Linked DNA regions of Xenopus tropicalis. The main gene of each other region encodes a partner of the protein of the gene in region 4 in a complex. Links are inferred from orthologs where the notes say so. Each region holds a gene or a part of one and is shown on either strand. Other genes may lie near its edges. The genes, in order: rgmb, bmpr1a, hjv, bmp2 and rgma.

The links.
Region 1: the proteins of bmp2 (region 4) and rgmb are in contact, whole or in part, in a crystal structure (PDB 4UI2), measured with the Homo sapiens proteins. The link is inferred for Xenopus tropicalis from reciprocal best matches to the Homo sapiens genes BMP2 and RGMB. Residues at the interface, in NP_001191.1 of Homo sapiens: Val308, Gly309, Trp310, Trp313, Met371, Tyr373, Leu374, Asp375, Glu376, Tyr385, Met388; in NP_001353437.1 of Homo sapiens: Lys97, Arg100, Gly101, Leu103, His106, Ser107, Leu110.
Region 2: the proteins of bmp2 (region 4) and bmpr1a are in contact, whole or in part, in a crystal structure (PDB 2QJ9), measured with the Homo sapiens proteins. The link is inferred for Xenopus tropicalis from reciprocal best matches to the Homo sapiens genes BMP2 and BMPR1A. Residues at the interface, in NP_001191.1 of Homo sapiens: Lys297, Pro330, Phe331, Pro332, Leu333, Ala334, Asp335, His336, Ser339, Asn341, Ile344, Val345, Leu348, Asn350, Ser351, Val352, Asn353, Ser354; in NP_001393490.1 of Homo sapiens: His66, Cys67, Pro68, Asp69, Ile77, Thr78, Asn79, Phe83, Ile85, Cys100, Met101, Lys102, Glu104, Gly105, Phe108, Gln109, Asp112, Arg120, Ile122.
Region 3: the proteins of bmp2 (region 4) and hjv are in contact, whole or in part, in a crystal structure (PDB 4UI1), measured with the Homo sapiens proteins. The link is inferred for Xenopus tropicalis from reciprocal best matches to the Homo sapiens genes BMP2 and HJV. Residues at the interface, in NP_001191.1 of Homo sapiens: Phe331, Pro332, Ala334, Asp335, Leu337, Asn341, Ile344, Val345, Leu348, Ser351, Val352; in NP_001366281.1 of Homo sapiens: Leu40, Asn43, Tyr46, Val47, Tyr86, Leu101, Ala102, Ser105, Ala106, His108, Gly109, Ile110, Asp112, Leu113.
Region 5: the proteins of bmp2 (region 4) and rgma are in contact, whole or in part, in a crystal structure (PDB 4UHY), measured with the Homo sapiens proteins. The link is inferred for Xenopus tropicalis from reciprocal best matches to the Homo sapiens genes BMP2 and RGMA. Residues at the interface, in NP_001191.1 of Homo sapiens: Val308, Gly309, Trp310, Asp312, Trp313, Met371, Tyr373, Leu374, Asp375, Glu376, Lys383, Tyr385, Met388; in NP_064596.2 of Homo sapiens: Arg91, Arg94, Gly95, Leu97, His100, Ser101, His104.

What each region holds. Positions count from the first base shown.
Region 1 is NC_030677.2:176,215,688-176,219,923, reverse strand, and holds the start of rgmb (RGM domain family member B precursor), read left to right. Parts: upstream 1-1,330; 5' UTR 1,331-1,637; coding exon 1,638-1,758; intron 1,759-4,236. UniProt on the Homo sapiens protein: Member of the repulsive guidance molecule (RGM) family that contributes to the patterning of the developing nervous system. Acts as a bone morphogenetic protein (BMP) coreceptor that potentiates BMP signaling. Promotes neuronal adhesion.
Region 2 is NC_030683.2:49,342,386-49,346,005, reverse strand, and holds part of bmpr1a (bone morphogenetic protein receptor type-1A), read right to left. Parts: intron 2,598-3,620; coding exon 2,501-2,597; intron 1,287-2,500; coding exon 1,148-1,286; intron 1,066-1,147; coding exon 873-1,065; intron 681-872; coding exon 383-680; intron 33-382; coding exon 1-32. UniProt on the Homo sapiens protein: On ligand binding, forms a receptor complex consisting of two type II and two type I transmembrane serine/threonine kinases.
Region 3 is NC_030684.2:128,546,933-128,550,552, forward strand, and holds part of hjv (hemojuvelin), read right to left. Parts: coding exon 3,213-3,620; intron 2,429-3,212; coding exon 1,808-2,428; 3' UTR 1-1,807. UniProt on the Homo sapiens protein: Acts as a bone morphogenetic protein (BMP) coreceptor. Through enhancement of BMP signaling regulates hepcidin (HAMP) expression and regulates iron homeostasis.
Region 4 is NC_030681.2:25,399,342-25,402,961, reverse strand, and holds part of bmp2 (bone morphogenetic protein 2 precursor), read right to left. Parts: intron 226-3,620; coding exon 1-225. UniProt on the Homo sapiens protein: Growth factor of the TGF-beta superfamily that plays essential roles in many developmental processes, including cardiogenesis, neurogenesis, and osteogenesis. Induces cartilage and bone formation.
Region 5 is NC_030679.2:112,524,130-112,527,726, forward strand, and holds part of rgma (repulsive guidance molecule A), read right to left. Parts: intron 2,274-3,597; exon of another isoform or gene 1,547-2,273; coding exon of another isoform or gene 1,396-1,546; coding exon 881-1,395; intron 1-880.

The DNA.
Region 1 (4,236 bases), on a different chromosome or scaffold from region 4:
GGGTTGCCACCTTGCCAGCAGGCCCGGACCGGCAATCTGAGGATTCTGGCAAATTGCAAATGGGATGCTGTGAGATGCCATAGACAGACACTATTTAGTTGGCTGGTGGGGTGGGGAGCTGTTTGAGCCACTGTGTAGGCCAATTGGATTGTAAGCTCTATGGGGCAGGGACCTCCATTCTCTTGTTTCTTCGATTCTTATTTTATTGCAACTGTACCTTGTATTTATTTGTATTTCTATCATATTTTGTACTAATCTTTTATTTTAATAACCCCCTGTACTAATTTCTTGTTTTACTGTACAGCCATGCATACACATGTAGTGCTTTATAAATAAAGATATACATACATGCATACATACATACAAATGCCAAGGTTTACTTTAAATCCCAGTCCAGATCGGCTGGTCAGTAGTATTAATATCTGGCTGAATGTTTAATTCCAATGTTATTAATACAAAAAGAATGGAAAAGCTGGTATTTTTTTTAGAAAAAGTAGCAACCCTGCCCATGTTTACTCTGCCAGTCTGCACACGAAGTAATGGGTTGGCCCTTCTAAAGTTCCTTATGTGTTACATGGTACATGTGGGAAAGCTGCAGGGCACTGACAGTACTACAACTCTCAACCGCCTCAGTGCACTTCTGCCAAAGTGAATGTAGCAAGGACATACTGTTTCCAAGGGATTAGGGGCCCCTATTATTAGATATAGTCAAGGGCTCAAATAGGAAAGGGGGTGAAAGAGTTACTTCAAATTGGCCAACGCTATCCGCCCCAGAATAGCAAGTTACATAATGCCCACAGCTGGAGGGCCACAGGGGTATCTCTCATGCTAACAGTAAACATGTATGAGAAATTGTTACCCAGCGTTACATAGCGTGTGGGAGTTACGTTGCATCTTCCCTAAGGAGCCCCTGGCCAGTGGGGGACCCAGGTCAAATTTCTGGTCTAACACTTAGTTCCCTACACACTAAAACAGACCGTGGGCCTAATACAGTAGCTGAAGGCCGCTTTTCACGGCCAGGATAATAGAGCTGCAACTGCTGCTGAACTTCAGCTCTCCCATGGATGCTCTGAACTCAGCAATAAGTCACAGCCCCGTCTCAGCCCTGAGTTCACTGCTGTACAGAGTAACAGCCCAACCCCATTCGCTTGCTCTCTGCTCTACAACCACGCCCATTCCAGTGACTTGCTCAGCAAGGTGATGATTGACAGCACACTTCTGCCCAATGGCATCGAGCGGAGTGGGCGGGGCAAGACTAGTGAGAGTGCTGAGCACGGCTTGTTCCCGGGAGGGGGATCGGGAGAGGGCGCCGCCCAGTCAGTCTCAGCCACAAGCCTCCTGTCCCTTCCTGCATAGTCCGTGAGCTGCCGGCGCTACAGCGGGACATCCTGCTTCTTGTAACCGTGTTCCCTTCTCTCTCTCTCCCGCTCCCTTTGTTTCTCATTATGTGTCACATCGTTCCCATCTGACGTCACTCGCACCGTCCCATTATCCCTGTACGATCCCTGTTCCCTGTGCATCCATGTTTTCTTAAAACTTTGACGCAATCGTTAAGGAAGAAGAGGAAAAGAGCCGTCCGCCTTGGTACGAGCAGCTGTCACCCCGGCATTGGGAGCCCGGCACTGCCACCTGAATGGATGGGCATGGGGAAAAGGGCCGGACTCTCTTACCCCGGGGCTGAGCGGCTGCCCCCGCCTGTCGCAGCCCTGCACCTCCCCGTACTGCTGCTGCTGCTGCTGGCTCTTTGGGGGGACACAGGTAAGCACTCTCTTACTAGCGCTGTGCGAGTCTCTTTAGCGCTGTGCGAGTCTCTTTAGCGCTGTGCGAGTCTCTTTAGCGCTGTGCGAGTCTCTTTAGCGCTGTGCAAGTCTCATTAGCGCTGTGCAAGTCTCATTTACAGCTGGCGAGGATTGCAGTTCAGCAACAACTGTGTGGGCGCAATAGGGCGAAGCAATTTAGCAGACGCCAGGGAGGTTCAACCTGCCTATATTTTGCCGAACTTAAGTACCCAAACTGGACTCCTAGGACCTAATGATCCCCACATAGTCACCCTCCCCCCCGTGTTCGGCTGAACTGCAACTCCCATTTGTCTGGAGATGCCAGACGGGTTGTTCAGTAACAGCCAGAGAGCTGCATGTTGAGCATCCGTGTCTAATGCTGTTATGTTCAGTGCCAAGTCCTTTTGTTGTAGTAACAGTTTATGGCTGGATCAGGTTTTGGCTGCTGCAGAACCTCTTGCACAACCAAGCTGTTGCACTTTTTCCTGGAAGTCCTTATACAGGTATAGGGCCGTTATCCAGAATGCTCGGGACCAAGGGTATTCCGGATAAGGGGTCTTTCCGTAATTTGGATCTCCATACCTTAAGTCTGCTAGAAAATCAATAAAACATTAATTAACCCCAATAGGATTGTTTTGCATCCAATAAGGATTATTTATATCTTAGTTGGGATCAATTACAAGGTACTGTTTTATTACAACAGAGAAAAAGGAAATCTGTTTTAAAATTCTGAATTATTTGATTAAAATGGAGTCTATGGAAGACGGGCTTTCCGTAATTTGGAGCTTTCTGGATAATGGGTTTCCGGATAAGGGGTCCGATACCTGTAATAACTGAAGATTAACACAACCATTGTCCCTGTAGCCTGTCCCACCTTCTATGCTGGAGAAATGTATTTGTTACTGTGTATGAATATCTTTATGCCATTGCTCCATGAGAAGGTGCTTCTGTCAGTGACTGGTGTTAGGCTTTGGTAATGCCAAGGTAGCCATGGTCTGCGCCATGTGAGATGAATGGATACCTACTATCCCATAGTGTGGCTAACTGGAACTGCGGGATTGTCTCTAAATTTGGCTGGCTAAACCTTAAAGGAAATTACATAGGTCCTGTATGACAGTAAGGAAGTACATAAATGTACCTGCACACCCTGGGCATCTCCCTCGTCAGTAACGTGAACTTGTCAGACTTACACCCACATTGCTTATATGGAGCTTATACTGCGTTTATTGGGATATATATGGGGGCAATGCAAGGTTCCAAGGTGGTCAGACACAGGGAGGATAAGATCCGTGTTGCATTGTACCTGTTTGCATCCACATAAATAGGGTAAATTACCCACAAATTACAATCAAGCCTGTGTTTAATTTTTCTGGTTTAGGGGTATCCATTTTCATTTGGTTAATAATGGGCTCATATTGTAAGTATCAGGAGGGCAAAACCCTTGTCACTTGTCCTGTAACACCTTTCCATCCAGGGGCAGCTGGCAGGCTGCATGCAGACACCTCCCTAAATTTTATATGTCCCAAAAAGGGGACCAAGGCTTCTTTAAATCAGTGCCACCCTTACTCATTTATTGCAGTTAATCAACATCATTTGTGAAAGTCTGGCATTTTAGCTCCCACCCAACATGTAACAAACTGTCAGTTAAAGCCACACAGGTGACAGTGGAGTGCACTGCCCCTTAACCATTGATGGCTTTTAATAGATTACAGTGGGAATTACTGTAACTAGTAACAGGCTGAAATTATTGGTGGAAGGTGGGTGGCAGACAGTTAGCTACTCTTCCATGATTTTGGCCAAAAGAAAAATCATGGAAGTCAGTATGCTTGCCAATGTACTTCTTTAATTTGACAGTTAAAGGGCAAATACAACTTAATATCTGCATCTGAAAGTGCAGAAAGTTCACTTATCAGTCCCGCAGGCATGTCCAAGTGGGCACCATGCAATGATCACAGGCTGTGGTACTTGGAAACACTATAACAGTGAAGGCCGGGCTGAAGAAAACATGAACTTTTATTCTGAAGAAACCTGCAATACTTCATTAAAGGGGATTTAACAAAAAAGCCAATGTTACCTCATGAAAGAAATAGTAATTTTTAAATGTAAATATAACTACTATAAAAAAGCAGCATCTGTCCCTTTCTGTTCTGTGCCCTGGTGATTTTGACTTTAGAAACAATGTAGCAGCAGCCAGCCGAAGAAGCATATAAGGCTGACCTCCTACTGCTACATTGTTTTAAGAGACAAAGCCAGCAGTACAGAAACTACAAATAACCCCAAAATAAACGTCAATGTATTTTAGAAAGTTGCTTACACCTTTTTCTACTATAAGACAAAATGTAAATTTTGGTTTTATATCCCCTGAACATGCTCTGTGGACTATGCTTTGTTACAAATGCTTTGCTCCCTCTCTAGAATAAATTCCCTGGGGCTTAATTATGAATCCAGTAACCCTTAG
Region 2 (3,620 bases), on a different chromosome or scaffold from region 4:
TGTTCAGGGGTATATCAACTTCATGTGTATCACTAAGAAGTAACATTAAGGGAACAGTAAGAGACAATGCCACTTCTTTTTGTTAAACTGCACAAATAAGATGGCTAGGGTGGGTTTTCTCTACAAAAAATGTTTTTATAACTTGAAAAAAGTGAACGTAACATATTCTGTTATTTTGTAGAAAATCTTATTTATTCAGCTACAGAGGCTGGAAGAAGCGCTTGAAAACAGCTGGGGACACCTTGAACAAAACATCTTTTAATAAAATAAATATACAAGACACCTTATAGTGAAATGTTTGCCTGTAGCTGCACTTTTCATACTGTACTGTACCACAGCATACGTAACCTCAGTTGTGAACACAGAGCGAGACACAGCATACCTGTTAAATTTTACTGCAAGTCCCAGGTCAGCAATGCAGCATGTCCAATTTTCTTTTATAAGTATGTTTTTACTTTTCAGATCCCTGTGTGCAATGGCAGGTTTTCCTTGAGTGCCATATATTTCAGTGTGGAGGTGACATAATCCACAGGCTGCTGAATAAGCAAGCTTGAGTAAAGATCTAGTATCCAGAGTGGTACACTTAAGGAAGTCATACAATGATCCATTTTCATGATACTCTGTTATTAGGTACATTTGTGTCCATGAGCCTGTTCCTTTAATATCAGCTGCTATGAAACCTAAAAATGAAAAAAAAAAAAAAAAAAAATGTATTTATCTTATGGCCATTAGCTCCCTTGATACAATCTTATATTAAGGTGCTTATTTAAGTCTTTATAAATGTGGTTACAAGTTATAATAATATAAGGCTATGCAATGTCTACATAGTACAGGGCTGAGTAGACTGGGTAGAGTGTTCCTTATGCACTTACCAAGTATATTCTCATGTCGCATGAGGACAGTTTGGTAGATTTCAGTTTCCCGGAACCAGCTGGCTTCTTCAGCAGTAAAGAACACTTTGACAGCCACCTTCTCTCCTCTCCATTTTCCCATCCATACTTCACCATACCTTCCCTTTCCTATCTGTCTAACCATTTGGATCTGCTTCGCTATAGTACGCTGCACCTACAGATTTAAAGCATCACATGATTAAATAAATGTATTATCAATAACAACAAAAAAGAAGTTAAAAGAAATTTATACTTACCAATAAAGGCAGCCCAGAGCCACTACCAGAGCTTTGTGATATATCAATAAGAGCCTTAAGGGACTCCCCTGCAGGTATAAAGGCATCATCGGGGTCCAAATTCCTGTTATATAGCATCCTTTGGGAATGCAGTTTATGTCTGTAAAAAAATTACACTTGTATGTCCAAGGTGATTGCACCAATATACATAGGCACTAATATAAATCACTCTCAATTATATATGTACAAGAAAAAGGGCACCCAGGGGCTAAAACTGGACTATTCTCTTATCAGTGCTTAGATACTGCAAAACGTAACATGCTTTATGAAGTACACTATCACTATTTATTGGCTATAAATTTTAAAATCAATTCGTAACCCTTAAAAACAAAGAAGGCAGAAAGAGAGAAGTACCTCCATTGTTTGTGGCAAAAAGTGACATGCACAATATATAGAATTCTAATTACAAAGAGATGATAGTAACAATAAATGGCAAACCTCAACTCAACTGTTAAAAAATTCCAGCACTGCTGTCCTGTCACATAATTAGAATAGTTATGGTTTATTAACTTTTCAAATGGCATTCATTATTTATTTTAGTTTTTGAATTATTCACATTTTTCTTGCAACTCTTTGAAGTTTCTGAATGGAAAACACTGACCCCACCAGCCAAAAAAGTATTTGCTCTGTGAGGTTACAGTTTTGCTGTTGTTACTTTTTGTAGCTTTCTTTTCTATTCAGGCCCTCTCCTATTCATATACAAGTCATTCTTCCCAACCATTTCCTGGTTGCTAAGGTAACTTGGACCCTAGTTACCAAAAAAATGCTGAACCACCACACTAGAGAGCTCCTGAATGGAAAATGAAAAACATTGAAAATTGTCTCAGAATACTACTATCTAAATCATAATAAAGTTTACTTAAAGGTGAACAGCCCCTTTAATATTTTGCATTGCATTAAATTAATCCATGCAGAGCTTAGATAGATACCACACCTGTACTGACATAATCCTAATTTATTGGCCTTTTTCTTAACAGTAACTATGTAAAGAACAGTATGCAGTCACTACAGTTGTTGACAAATACAGTTACATCCCATTTGGCTAATTTAAACTAACTGGTGTATCTGTGCCCAGTAAACAATAGTATTATATGTTTGAGTCAATGACAAGCAAATCAGTTCATATTCTACTTACTGCAACTACTATAAATAAGGGTGCAATCATCAGTGACTACTGTAATACAGTAGCAATATCAATAATCACCCCAGGTTTATGTAGTGAGCTACAACACAAAATAATCATTGTACAAAGTCCAAGACACACAGGTAAAGAACAACAACAAATAATTCAATACTATTCAAATAATGTCTTACTTGTAAAGCCAAATGATAAGAATGAAGCCGGCTATAATAATCACACAGACCACCAACGAAATGATAAGAGCAATGAAGCGCAAACCATATTCTGCATCTGAAACAATGAAAGAAAAATGTCATCTCAAATGTCCTCTCCAGTGGTTTCAGTTCTGCTACATAAGCATAAGGTCAGTTTGCATATAACACGTCTGCATAGCTGGTCTCTGGTTTAACCATGTGTATGGAAATACTAATGTAATAAATGCAAAGTACTAATAAAAAGCTCTGCCCTCACATCACCAGAATATTTATGCCAGGGATGTAAATGCCAAAATGTGTCCTCTATCTCCACATTACTGTGCACTGATCAGTGCTGTATTAGCCTAATTGTGAACAGATGGAGTGGATTTCAGTGCAGAAAGCTTAAGTTTGTATTTTCATTCCAAAATCTACCCCATTGGGCATTAACAGGCCAACGCCAGAACTGTCATTCAGTGCACAGTGATGTTGGGGAAAAAGAAATCGGATTGTTATTTTCACACCTGGCGCAAGTATGCTGGTAAAGAAATTGCCTGGGTGTGACACAGCCCTTAGGGTTCATGCATTTAAGATTTAATATAAAGTAAATTGCAATGCTCACAGGCATTTATTCCAGTTTTCCATTTTTTGCATCTAAGTTTTTTAAAGCAATATAGCAACACAATACAAAACGAATCTAAAGAATTGCGGACACTTAGGAGATTTATCAAGACACGAATGCTCCGTGTATTTTTTTCGTATGCTTGCGTAACTTTTTCGTACGCTTGCACGAAAAATTCGGAAAGGTTCTGCTGCTGTTTACAATCTTTCGGATCGCCAATACGATATTATCGTGACTAATACGATTATTTCGTAAGCATTTCTTTAGAAATTATTGTATCCAATCCGAATTTTTCCCATTTGGGATTCGAACTCGTGTTTTAATAAATTGGCCCCTTAATATTGACCTAATGTTTTTGCTTTCAAATCTGAATATTTGAAAGCATGTGTGTGCACATAAACTTACTGTCAATTAAAGGGCATGGATCTACTGCAACCCTAAACAAACCGAAACAAACTGCTGCTTTTGTGTTAGTAGGTTTTGTTAGAATTTAACTCT
Region 3 (3,620 bases), on a different chromosome or scaffold from region 4:
AGGAAAAGAGAACCACAAATACAGCGCTCCAACTTACCCCACACTGTCCCCCCTATTAATTTAACATATAAAAACAAATCTCACAAAAAAATAGAACCCATTTTTAATAAAACATTCAACCTCAATATATTAAATATTTCTGTCCAGGCAACCGATACTTATCTACAGTGGTTTAACCCCAGTGCTGCTGGATCGTACCATTTGCACAGATATTCTCTGTACTTTTAATGCTATTGAAATGCCTTGCGCTAATAATACACGCTAATAAATCTGCTACAACCGTCTTGTCGCTCAGGTTTCATAAGGTTTATGCTATGAACTGTCGCCACCTGGTGGTGAGAGACCAGTGCAGCCTTACTGGACCACAATAGGGCCGGATTGGAAATGTGGGATTTAATGGTTCATTCTCATTTTAGATTTTTGAACTCAGATAAGTGCAGGCAGGTTGAACTCCATGGATGGTCTTTTTTCAACCTAAAATATGTATATATGTTAACATATTACTATGTAATGTAAACTCACTCTGTGTGCTCCTCTGAGCATTTTTGCAATTTGTATTAATAAACTCTCTTCTAGTGTTCAACGTATTATTAGTTTTAACACTGCTATATGATATATTATATATAAAAAACCACCTGCTGTTAATTTTCAATGACTGGACACAGTCGGTGTAAAATGAAGTGAAAAAAGGAAAAGTTTTGCATTGTCGCTACCCTTAGAACCAACCAGAGAAACATCAGATGACTCTTCTGTGCTCACTTACTGAATTTTCTGAGCAGAACAACATCACAAGGCTTTCCATTTTTCACTAACTTCATGTTTCAGTTGGTCTACATTACCAACAGGTGGCGCACAGCATCATATTAGTAGTATGAAAAGTGCCACTATCTCGTAAACTAGAAAATATTAAATGTAAATTGCAAAAGTGCTCAGAAGAGCAACTATACGGTAAGTTGTTTTTTAGGGTTTCATTTGCTTTACTCAATCTAAAAAGACAGCAACAAGGATCTGAAATGTTGATGTGCAGTTCCATAAATGACTATTGAAGTGTATTGTGCCTTAGTTATATGGGACTGGTTTGTACATGCTACAAGTCATCGCCCTATAGTTGTGCCCGATAGGAAGAATTCCATTTACAGCCCTGTTTGCCTGACCACTCCTTCAATGATGTCAGGCCACACCCCTTCTGGCTCCTTATTAGGGCTTTATAGAACAATGGGAGGGCTGTGGGAGGTGATAAAGATGTTTGCAAACCAGTGAGAGATAATGGCTGCTTGGGCAAAACCATCATTTTACAAGAACATGGTGGAAAATAAACTGCCCTATTAAGCTATATTTTCCTGCTAAGCCAACAAACATTCTAAATATAAAATATAAATATATATATATATACTTTCAGATTTAGGAAGGTGCATTTTGAAATAGTTTTTTTTGTGAAAGGGCATATAGTCTGTGCCCTTTATCCCCCCTACTTGAAGACCTAATATTTATATATATATAGGTGTTTGTGTGATAAAGTTCCGTAATGACATTGGCCATTGTGATTTGGATCAGTGGTGACATAGAACATCCAGAAGAACATCCAAAAGGGTTTTTATGATAAATAGTTTGGGATTTAGAGTCTTTCTGGCAGAGGCGTGATATGTACAATAGGCCCTGAGATGTACAATAGCTGTGCCTAAAGGAATTGCACCAGAACTGACGGCAATCCTATCAGTTTCAATGATCTAGCTTCTGCCAAACATTGGGTCCACCATCTTCACATTTGTGTCCAGGCCTTTGTTTGCAACATGCAACGCCCAAATAGCTACAGGTTCTGCACGGTGTTAGCCAGGCACAGCAGAAGTATTAAGGCAACAGGTATATGCCGACCATTTGCTGCTCCTGTGCTGAATATATGTAACATTCCTGGTTCAGGGAGAAAGTCTTTGGCATCCTCCAAGGCATAGTAGGCTGCATTTGTCATGTTGGCATCTCCAGATATGGCCACATCAAACACACAAGACTGGAAATAAGCATCCTCAACTGGGAGTTTCGCTCTACACATAGATTTGGCCTTGTCGGTGCTGATAGAGCTTGTCCTACCAACATCCTTAGTCCTAGATATGAATTGGCTAGCTGGGCATCCTCCCATGCATAGCTGCAAGTCCTGTTCCTCTTGGAAAGCCAATGAGATGTCCTCAGGCATGCGCAGGGAGAATGAAAGCTGCTTGGCCAACTGGCGAACTCGTATGGTGGTTCCAATATAAGGGGCCTCGATCTCTATTAAGCTCCCGGGCTCCCTGTCGTAAATCTTAAGGTTACTTCCACCCGCTCGTCTACCTCCATTGACTGAGCCATCATCGAAGGCTGCTGGTAAGTTGTCCACTTCAGCTTGGTAAACCTTCTGATCTATGCACTGCTTCATGTTTTTGAAGATGATGGTGATCTATGAGAATAAATAAAGCATCATTATGGAGAATAACAAGAAAACAATACCTCTGTAAATCCAGGTTTATGTGTAAAAATGCCTGTCCTGCTTGTAGTGGGTATAAACAACCGCAAAAAATCCTCTGCACTCACCCATTATCAATATATAGAAATAGGACATTAGGACATGTCCTAATGTCCTATTTCTACATATTGATAATGGGTGAGTGCAGAGAATTTTTTGCGGTTGTTTATATGTATTTTGTGGTCACAGCCTCATTGCACCAACGCCTAATGGTTGACAATTTAGTGGTTGAGCACAACTTTCCCTTTTTCTTGTCTGCTTGTAGTGGGCCCTAGGGAGCTTATTTGGCTTCTAATGGTGGCTTCTCTAACAAGGTCCAGCTTTGAAACTCCTGCAATGTTCTACAGGAAGGGGACAGTGTTCAGCTGCTGGAAAGGAATTTAGATCAACTTGGTTGGGTAGACTAGAGCATCTACCAAAGACTGGATCCACGTTAATATCTCCTGGATACAGGCCCATTATCAATTAGAATAACTATCATGGTAGAACCTAAGGGAGGTTTTGGAAGACCTTAGGGAATTTGCAAATATTAGCCCTGTTATGACGTCCTAGGAATGATGACATAAGGCTTTTGAAAACCAACAGCGCAACCTAGGGGTAGTTATTGCCCAAACCTAAACCACACTGAAGTCATTTAAAAAAAGCCCTGTAGATGGTGTTTTTTTGCCATGCTTGCTTTGAATGAAGTTCATAGGGACGAATCTGCAATGGTTTTTACCTTAGTAGTAACTGTGGCATTGGACATAGTGGAGAGTGGTGAGCTGGTTGCTTGGACAAACAGGTATTCATTATCCAACAGAGGCCATGACCCGTTCACTCGACACGTCTGAAAGTCACCACTAAAAGTGCGTACATGAGGGTCCCCAAACACCCCACAGTGGAGATACTTTGGAATCTTGCCATGCTTCTCGCGGAAAGTTCTCTCATAATCACAGGCCTCCTGTTTCCTGGGGCCTTCGGGGCGAGGCTGGGGAGGTTGGGGCCTGGGTGATGCTGTAGGCCCCTCTTTGGAACAGTTGTGCTGAATCATGAGATCTTCAATGATGTGCACTGCAGAGTGGTAGATCAGGTCTCCGCGGCAGGTGCGGGCAGTTTTGCGGGTACATTGGGAATAGGAGCGCAGGGC
Region 4 (3,620 bases):
GTCTTACAACGGGGCCCCGGGAGGCAGCCGCTGCTGGCTTGACAATATCATAAATATTAATCCGATGAAGTTTGCTGCTGTCACCCTCAAATGGCTCCTGGACCCCCTCTCGAAAAATCCGTAGCTCGGCAGAAGTGACCAGCTCCTCGTTCGGAACTGAAGAAAGGTTGAAGAAGAATCGTTGGATTGTTTTCTCGCCAGACTCGGGAATTTCTTCCATGGATTCTATTTTCAAAGGAAAAGAAGAAGTATTAGAAATAAAGGAAAGAAGTATAAACTTAAAACAGAATTATCTTGTGTTTAGTTTCACCATCTCTCTCTACTAATTGCAACCAGTGGAGTTAACCACCCCAAGCTTAAGCTGGCCATACACCTTAATATCAGCTAGTTTGTGAGGCTGACAAAAGAACAGATCTCTGCCTGATTTGGCCACCCATTGCTGAGCCAAAGCAGGATGATCCTATTTCAGGCCTAGGAAGACCTGTTGGACTAGACCAGAGATCCCCAACCTCTTACTCGTGAGCCACAGCCAAATGTAAAAAGACTTGGAGAGCAATACAAGTACCATAAAAGTTCATGGAGGAGCCAAATAAGGGCTAAGATTGGCTATTAGAGAGCCTCTATGCACACTATCAGCTTACAGGGGGCTTTATTTGGTAGGAAATCTTGTTTTTATTCAACCAAAACTTGCCCACAAGTCAGGAATTCAAAAATAACTCCCTGGTTTGGGGGCACTGAGAGGGGTTGGGGAGCAACATGTTGCCCTGAGCCACTGGTTGGGGATCACTGGACTAGATCAATGCACCAATGCAGTCCTTGCCTAACATGATTCTCAATCCAAAAGATATCTGGCCAGATATTGGTCAGATAGACGTACACAGGTCAAAAAAACTTACTACCATCTGCAAGCAGATTATAGCCATGTATGGCCACCTGACAATTTTAATGGAATTCCTAGATCATCATCCATAAAGAATCATTTAAAGACTGGTGCTTTCTATGCGACCTTTCAGATATCAGAATTTCACATGGACAGGTTTCTTTATAAACCTCTCCAAGGGTTTCCCTGCAACCTCACCTGGTATAAAAGCTATAAATGATTTACGGTTAGAAAATTGTAAGCTTTCACTTCATTCACGCTTCTGTTTACATCTCAGATCAGAATAAAAAAAAAAATATGTTTATTTTTGTAACTGAATAGACTCTTCCATAACTCTTTTTGGTTGTATTTTGGCGTTCATTTATTACAGTTCTCTCTACTTTTATTCTTTTTCTAATTGTGGCAGACATAAAACACCCAGGCAATAACTTAGAAAGCACTACATTACCGATTTCCTAAAAACTCAGAAACAGCAATCCAAACAGCCTTAGGAAGTGGGGGAATTAGTGGTGCCTGTGGTAGCAGACATTACAGGACATCCTGTGGGCTACTTGCAAGAGAAGTCTGCAGAATGTATGCAATTTCACCCCCTCTGGTTTGTTCAGTTGTTTATTTGAAATCTGCAGATAAATTAGGTTGGGGGGGGGCACTAGGATATTTCTTATTTTCATACTCAGACTCACAAATACCACCATTAAATACATTCCATAATGTCTGCTGCATGATGGTTGCTTTCATGACTGGGAGTAACGCTATAAAAAAGGTACTGGTACGATTTGCTATGTTTTCTAATATAAGAATCTGGCCCATTAGTTTCTCTTCAGTGTGATTGGTAGCCCACACTGTATATATTTCAATGGCATTCTCTCAAACTGCAGCAATTAGAAACTATAAAATGGCTACAGCTGTTAGTTGTTCGACGTTACATAAGATGCCAGTGTGTTGGCAAGACCAAAAAGACATGCAGGTTGAAAACATGATATATGTTGTCCATCACATACTTTGAATTAATTAGCAGCAGTCCAGCCTTGCTTTAGGATTGTAATTCTTCCAAAGTTACAAGTCACAGAACCGTTATAAGCAAACTTCATGGGCCTCAGAAGGATCAATCAGGAGACTAATGGTCAAAGGAATTCATACGTTATGGTAGATGTGATGTTATAGTCAATATGGGGTGACGCCTATCAAAATACTGGGTAATAATATAAATATAAAGTGGCCATACACCATAAGAGCCACTCCTTTGGAGAGGTCACCAAACGAGTGAATCTTTCCACTGACAAGCCCACCTAAGGAGGGCAATCTCTGAGTAATCCATTCGCTTGGCCCAAGGGCCACAGATCTAATTACAATGATGGAAATAGGATCCGTTGGAGTGATGACTGCATCAATGAACCAATGCGGTCCCCAATCCAATGGAAAAAAATCAAACCTGCTTGATAGACATCTGGGCAATACTGACGACCCCCCCATCTTCATGTGATGTCAGGCCAGTAGCTATATGCAGCCCTCAATGGTAACCATGCTGAAACAAAATCATTGTAGTTTGGCTAGTGACCTTCCTAGTTACGCAAAGATTTCCCCACAAGGGCACAAGAAGAAAAGCAGCCCAACTTATTGTAGCGTAAACATCATGAAAGGAAATTTTTATTGGCGCTGCAGTAAAGTGTAATTAGGGGCACATTTAAGAAGTTCAACAAAAACAATAGGAGGGCTTGTGGCTAGGAGTTAACTGCTTACAGCACTGTATAGTTAGTTTACATGCAGTTCTAGAAGGGTGTAGACATCAGACATACAAATACAGGAGATAAGGAGGGCCCTGCTCATCAAAGCTTGCATTCCCAAAGGATACTAATAATTTATGAGAAATGCCAGCTATATGGACTATATGATTCAGGCTAAAACAAAGGGGTGCAAGTCAGGAGATCAAAAGCATATAGGACGTTTGTCATTGGAGTGTTTGCTGTTGAGCAGCACAAGAACAAATATCTCTGAAAGCGAAGAATTCTGTACAGCAAAGGACTGTGAGAAAGATATGTGAGATGACAACTGTATTACACTAGAATGAAAAGTGTTCCAAAACCACAAGGCATGATGATCACAACATGCCACCTCTATCTGCCAGCTATTGGGCATACTTACCCATAAATTTCTTCCCTGATTCAACCTAATGACTCATGCTGTCTATCCCTCCATGCATGAGTCACTAACTGGAAAGCAGAATCGGATTTACTCTACCGCAATTTGGTTACTCTACATTATATAACTATAGAACAGTCACCCAAGGAATAATATAGCTAAGGCTAATTACCCCTCAAAAAAGTGGTAACAGGAGTTGTGGAACAGGACGAGCCTACAGATTTGTTTAGCTGTAAGTTGTAGCTGCTTCTTTGCCAGATGCCAAGACCTTTCGTAGGGAATTCCACCCAGCTGCTTCCCATAAAAGCTCAAAGGCAGCTGGCACAACTATACTGAGGCAGAACCATCTGATCCACACTCAATCTTATGGTCAACTGAAGACCATGGCAAGCCTAGAAGGGCATCACGAGCATTAGCATATATAGTGTTTTCATTTAAGTCTATTGTGTCTTTTTCACTACTACTGAGGAGACATACAAATTCCATGGAGCACTAAGCATTCATTCATAAAATCTGGAATTATTTTTGCAGGTGTGTAGGCCCACAGACCCACTATCTGTCTGCGCATACACTGAATGTCTAGCTTGAATATAGCGATTCT
Region 5 (3,597 bases), on a different chromosome or scaffold from region 4:
GAATAGGGATAGTTCACAGCACATATATATATGTTTAGCATTTCCTCAGGGCATGACTTACATGAATACAGGCTAGGCCTGTTATTACTAAATCACTGCTCAGCCCAAAGGTCATTAAAAGCTTATGTAAATGATTTGCATTTTCAGTGCTGCACCTTATCTGCCCCTTAGGTGAGTGCTGACAAGAAACCTACTCGCACAATCTGATCTTCCTTAGAAAGTTGCCATAAAGGCTTTGCAGGGACCTTTGTGGCTCAAGCTGCCCTTTCAAGGGGCCTTCCTGAAATCAGATACAGGCGAGGGGACACTGCATTATAATAGTTAATGTGCAGTCTGTTTGTGGAAGGCTGTTATACCATCAGGGAAATTGCTGCTGAAGTCTAAATAGTGAGCTGCTCCAAAGTGAATGACTTAAGGTAGGCCAAACTAATCCATCCCTGTGACAAAGGACAATGAGAGGCAAGTTACTAAAGCCTGGATGTGCCTTGTGGGCTACGGGGAGGCATTATTTCTGCTTCCTTGGTTTGTTGACCCAACAGGAAGCAGCTGGTTGCCTGGGACATGAGTTAAGCCAGACCCAGAAATCATAGATCTATATCTGAATAAAGATCGTAGAAATGGGCACAACTCTGCCCATAGGATATAAGTGTTCTATAAATATCCAGTGCCACTGTCTCTGCTACAGCACTGTACGGCTGTTAAAGAAAGTCAATATATATAACAAAATAGGTCTCAGCACTATAGCAGCTTTATGGGCAGCTGGGAAGACTATTGGTGTGTGAAAAGTACATATTGCAAATGTCACTCAGCGGCTTTACCTGGCAACCCAGGGGCAACCCTTGAAATGAGGTATAATCATGTGCAAATATGTTGTGTTTACCTTGCTGGTGGCTGTGGCAATTGATCCTGGAAGCACGGGAGTGTTGGTAACCTGCACATTCAAGTAATTATTGTCTATGAGGGGCCAAGCACCTTGTATTTTGCAGGTCTGGAAAGTGTCTGAAAACGTCCTAAGGTGTGGGTCTCCAAAGAGGCCACAGTGGGTATAGTTTGGAAGGGCAGAGGGTCTGTGGAAGCTTTTCTCATAATGGCATATTTCGGGGCTGTCGGAGCGCTCTTGGCTGTCCCCTGGAGGCAAGATGCGTATGCGTGGCTGAGAGGTGGGGCCATCCTTGGAGCAGTTATGGTGGCTCATGAGGTCATCAATGCCATGGACAGTTGAATGGTAAGCAAGGTCTCCTCTGCAAGTGCGTGCCGTGCGTCGGCTGCAGTGGGCGTAGGTGCGCAGTGCGGTGCAGATCTCCACTGTGTCCTCAGGTCCTGCGTGATGATGTGGGTTTGAAGTCGCTTGCAAGTAGTCGGCAGTGCACTTCAAAATCTTGCACGATGAGCTCACTATGCGGAGAGAAATACAGAGAGTCAACATCCAGCCGACACACAACATGCTATAGAGCAACTTCACGCCACCCTCATTTACAAACATCAGCACTTCCTGGTTGGTTTCCAGGAATCTTACTTGGTATTTAAAGGATATTATATTTACCATTTAGAGAAAATAAAACACCATTTCTTGCCAAACCCAAGTAAATAACCTATTGCTGAGCCGAGCCAAGCATGCCTGTTACCATTCTATAAGAGAAGTGAATTCATCTGGGTCTGTAAAGGCATTGTCACACATACGTGCTAGAGCAACCAGTGTGGCAGCTCTCACCAAACACATACAGATGTATGTATGATGCTTTATGTACATAGAACGGACACAGTTACCTAGGGTAGTATGACAATGGCACAGAGGGGAACTCCTAGCACTTTGCTCTATGGGATTGGAAGAGTTGCAAAACATTAAAAATTCCCCTTATTCAAAGTGAATGGGAAGACAGGAAAAGCCCAAACCCTGTCCAGAGCAGTATATTATACAGAATCCATACAGCGCTCCTAGCACCATCCTACCATAGTGAGTGACTGGAGGAAAGGGGCTGGCCATGCTATGGTGGAAGGGTCAGCAGTGCAGCGAGGGGCACATGAAACTCATTGCTGTTTTGTTGCACCGCAGACTGTTTCTCAACCACAAATACAATTATTGTGAAGCTGAGGGCTCAGGGAGAGTAAGCAGCTCCAGCACGGACAGCGCCTGTGTATTTAGCACAATCAGCAGCGAGTCAATAAGTCCTTCTTTATTGGGCCAGACCAAGTACAAATGTCAGCCAGTTGCACTCAGCCAGTATAATGCAGCCGGCAATAAAGAGCCATCCCGCCTGGCAGGGCCGTGCTAATCCTGACACCCACCCCCACACACCTTACTGGATGTTTGGAGATATGTTCTTGGGAGGGGGCGGCAGGGCAGCTTTTTGTAACTGAGAGACACTGCTGAACATGGGGGGACCCTCACTGCGGGGTTTCCCTATACAGCAAGGGGCTTGTGAATGCATGCATGCCTGCTTTCCCCCCACCCAATACAGGCCCCTATGGGCAGCCACTATATCTTATAAATGGGAGCAGAGCACCGCTTGAATCTAGGGTGCAGGAATAATACAGCACATTATGGGACTGCTTTCTGTATCCCATTCTAGCAGGGGCTGGCTGTCTGGGAGTTTCAGTTGAATTGCATTTGCAGAACAGCTCATTCTGTATTGCTTGTTTGTGCCTGAAGAAGCATAACCTGAGCAGGCGTTGGTGCCAAAACAAAGAAGCTGCCTCTGTAGTTTAAATATACTGTAAAAGAACTAAAGGGCAACTATAGAGGGAGGTGTAAACTGTTCCGCTGCCCAGCCCAGGGCTTCCTGTTGTGCACTTGGTGATATTGTAGCTTCCCTGTGGCCTCTGTCGCACGTACACACGTGGCCTGCTGAGCCACGGGCCAACCGCTGCCCCACTACAACCCTTGCTGTTCTCACTCAGCACCTTATGGGATCTCAGTAGATATACAACTACAGGGGTCCTATACTTTGGAGCCAGTCTGCCATGCAAGTATTCAAACCGGACATCATTCACAGCCTGTGCAGGCTCCTCTATACTCTTGGGCCCCCAGGAGCCGCTGGTTCTGCTCCCCTAAGAACCTGAAAGGTACATCCCCTTGCACTCTGCTAACATACGCTTTTTTTTTTTTTCACTTTACTCTCAAGAGCATCAATTTGTTCAGTAATTGAATGATTCACAGTAATTATAATAAATGGGTCTCTGTGCCTGGAAGCCATAGATAATGACGAGTGGAAGCAGCAAGCAGTAGGGGTGTAGTTCCCATTCAGTCATACTGACAAATCTTCCACACTTGCACTAACACTCTAGGAAGGTTTCAGAATTAACTAAAACACACCAAAAATTTCCCGAGTGTGGCACCGCAGCCACGGAATTATGCATCAGAGCGAGAATGAGAAGATCAGTGCTGGGGGTCCAGGATTCAATTCCAGCCAGGGCATCTACAAGGTGTCTGTATGTACTCCCTCAGGTGGCGTGGGGTTTATCCCCATATTCCAAAAACAGTCAGGTTAAGTGATTCCTGGTAACATTGCCAATATTATGTGTTAATGTAATAGGGACCTTAAATAGTAAGCTCTACTGGGCCAGAAGTTGATATGAATGACAATCTCTATAAAAGAC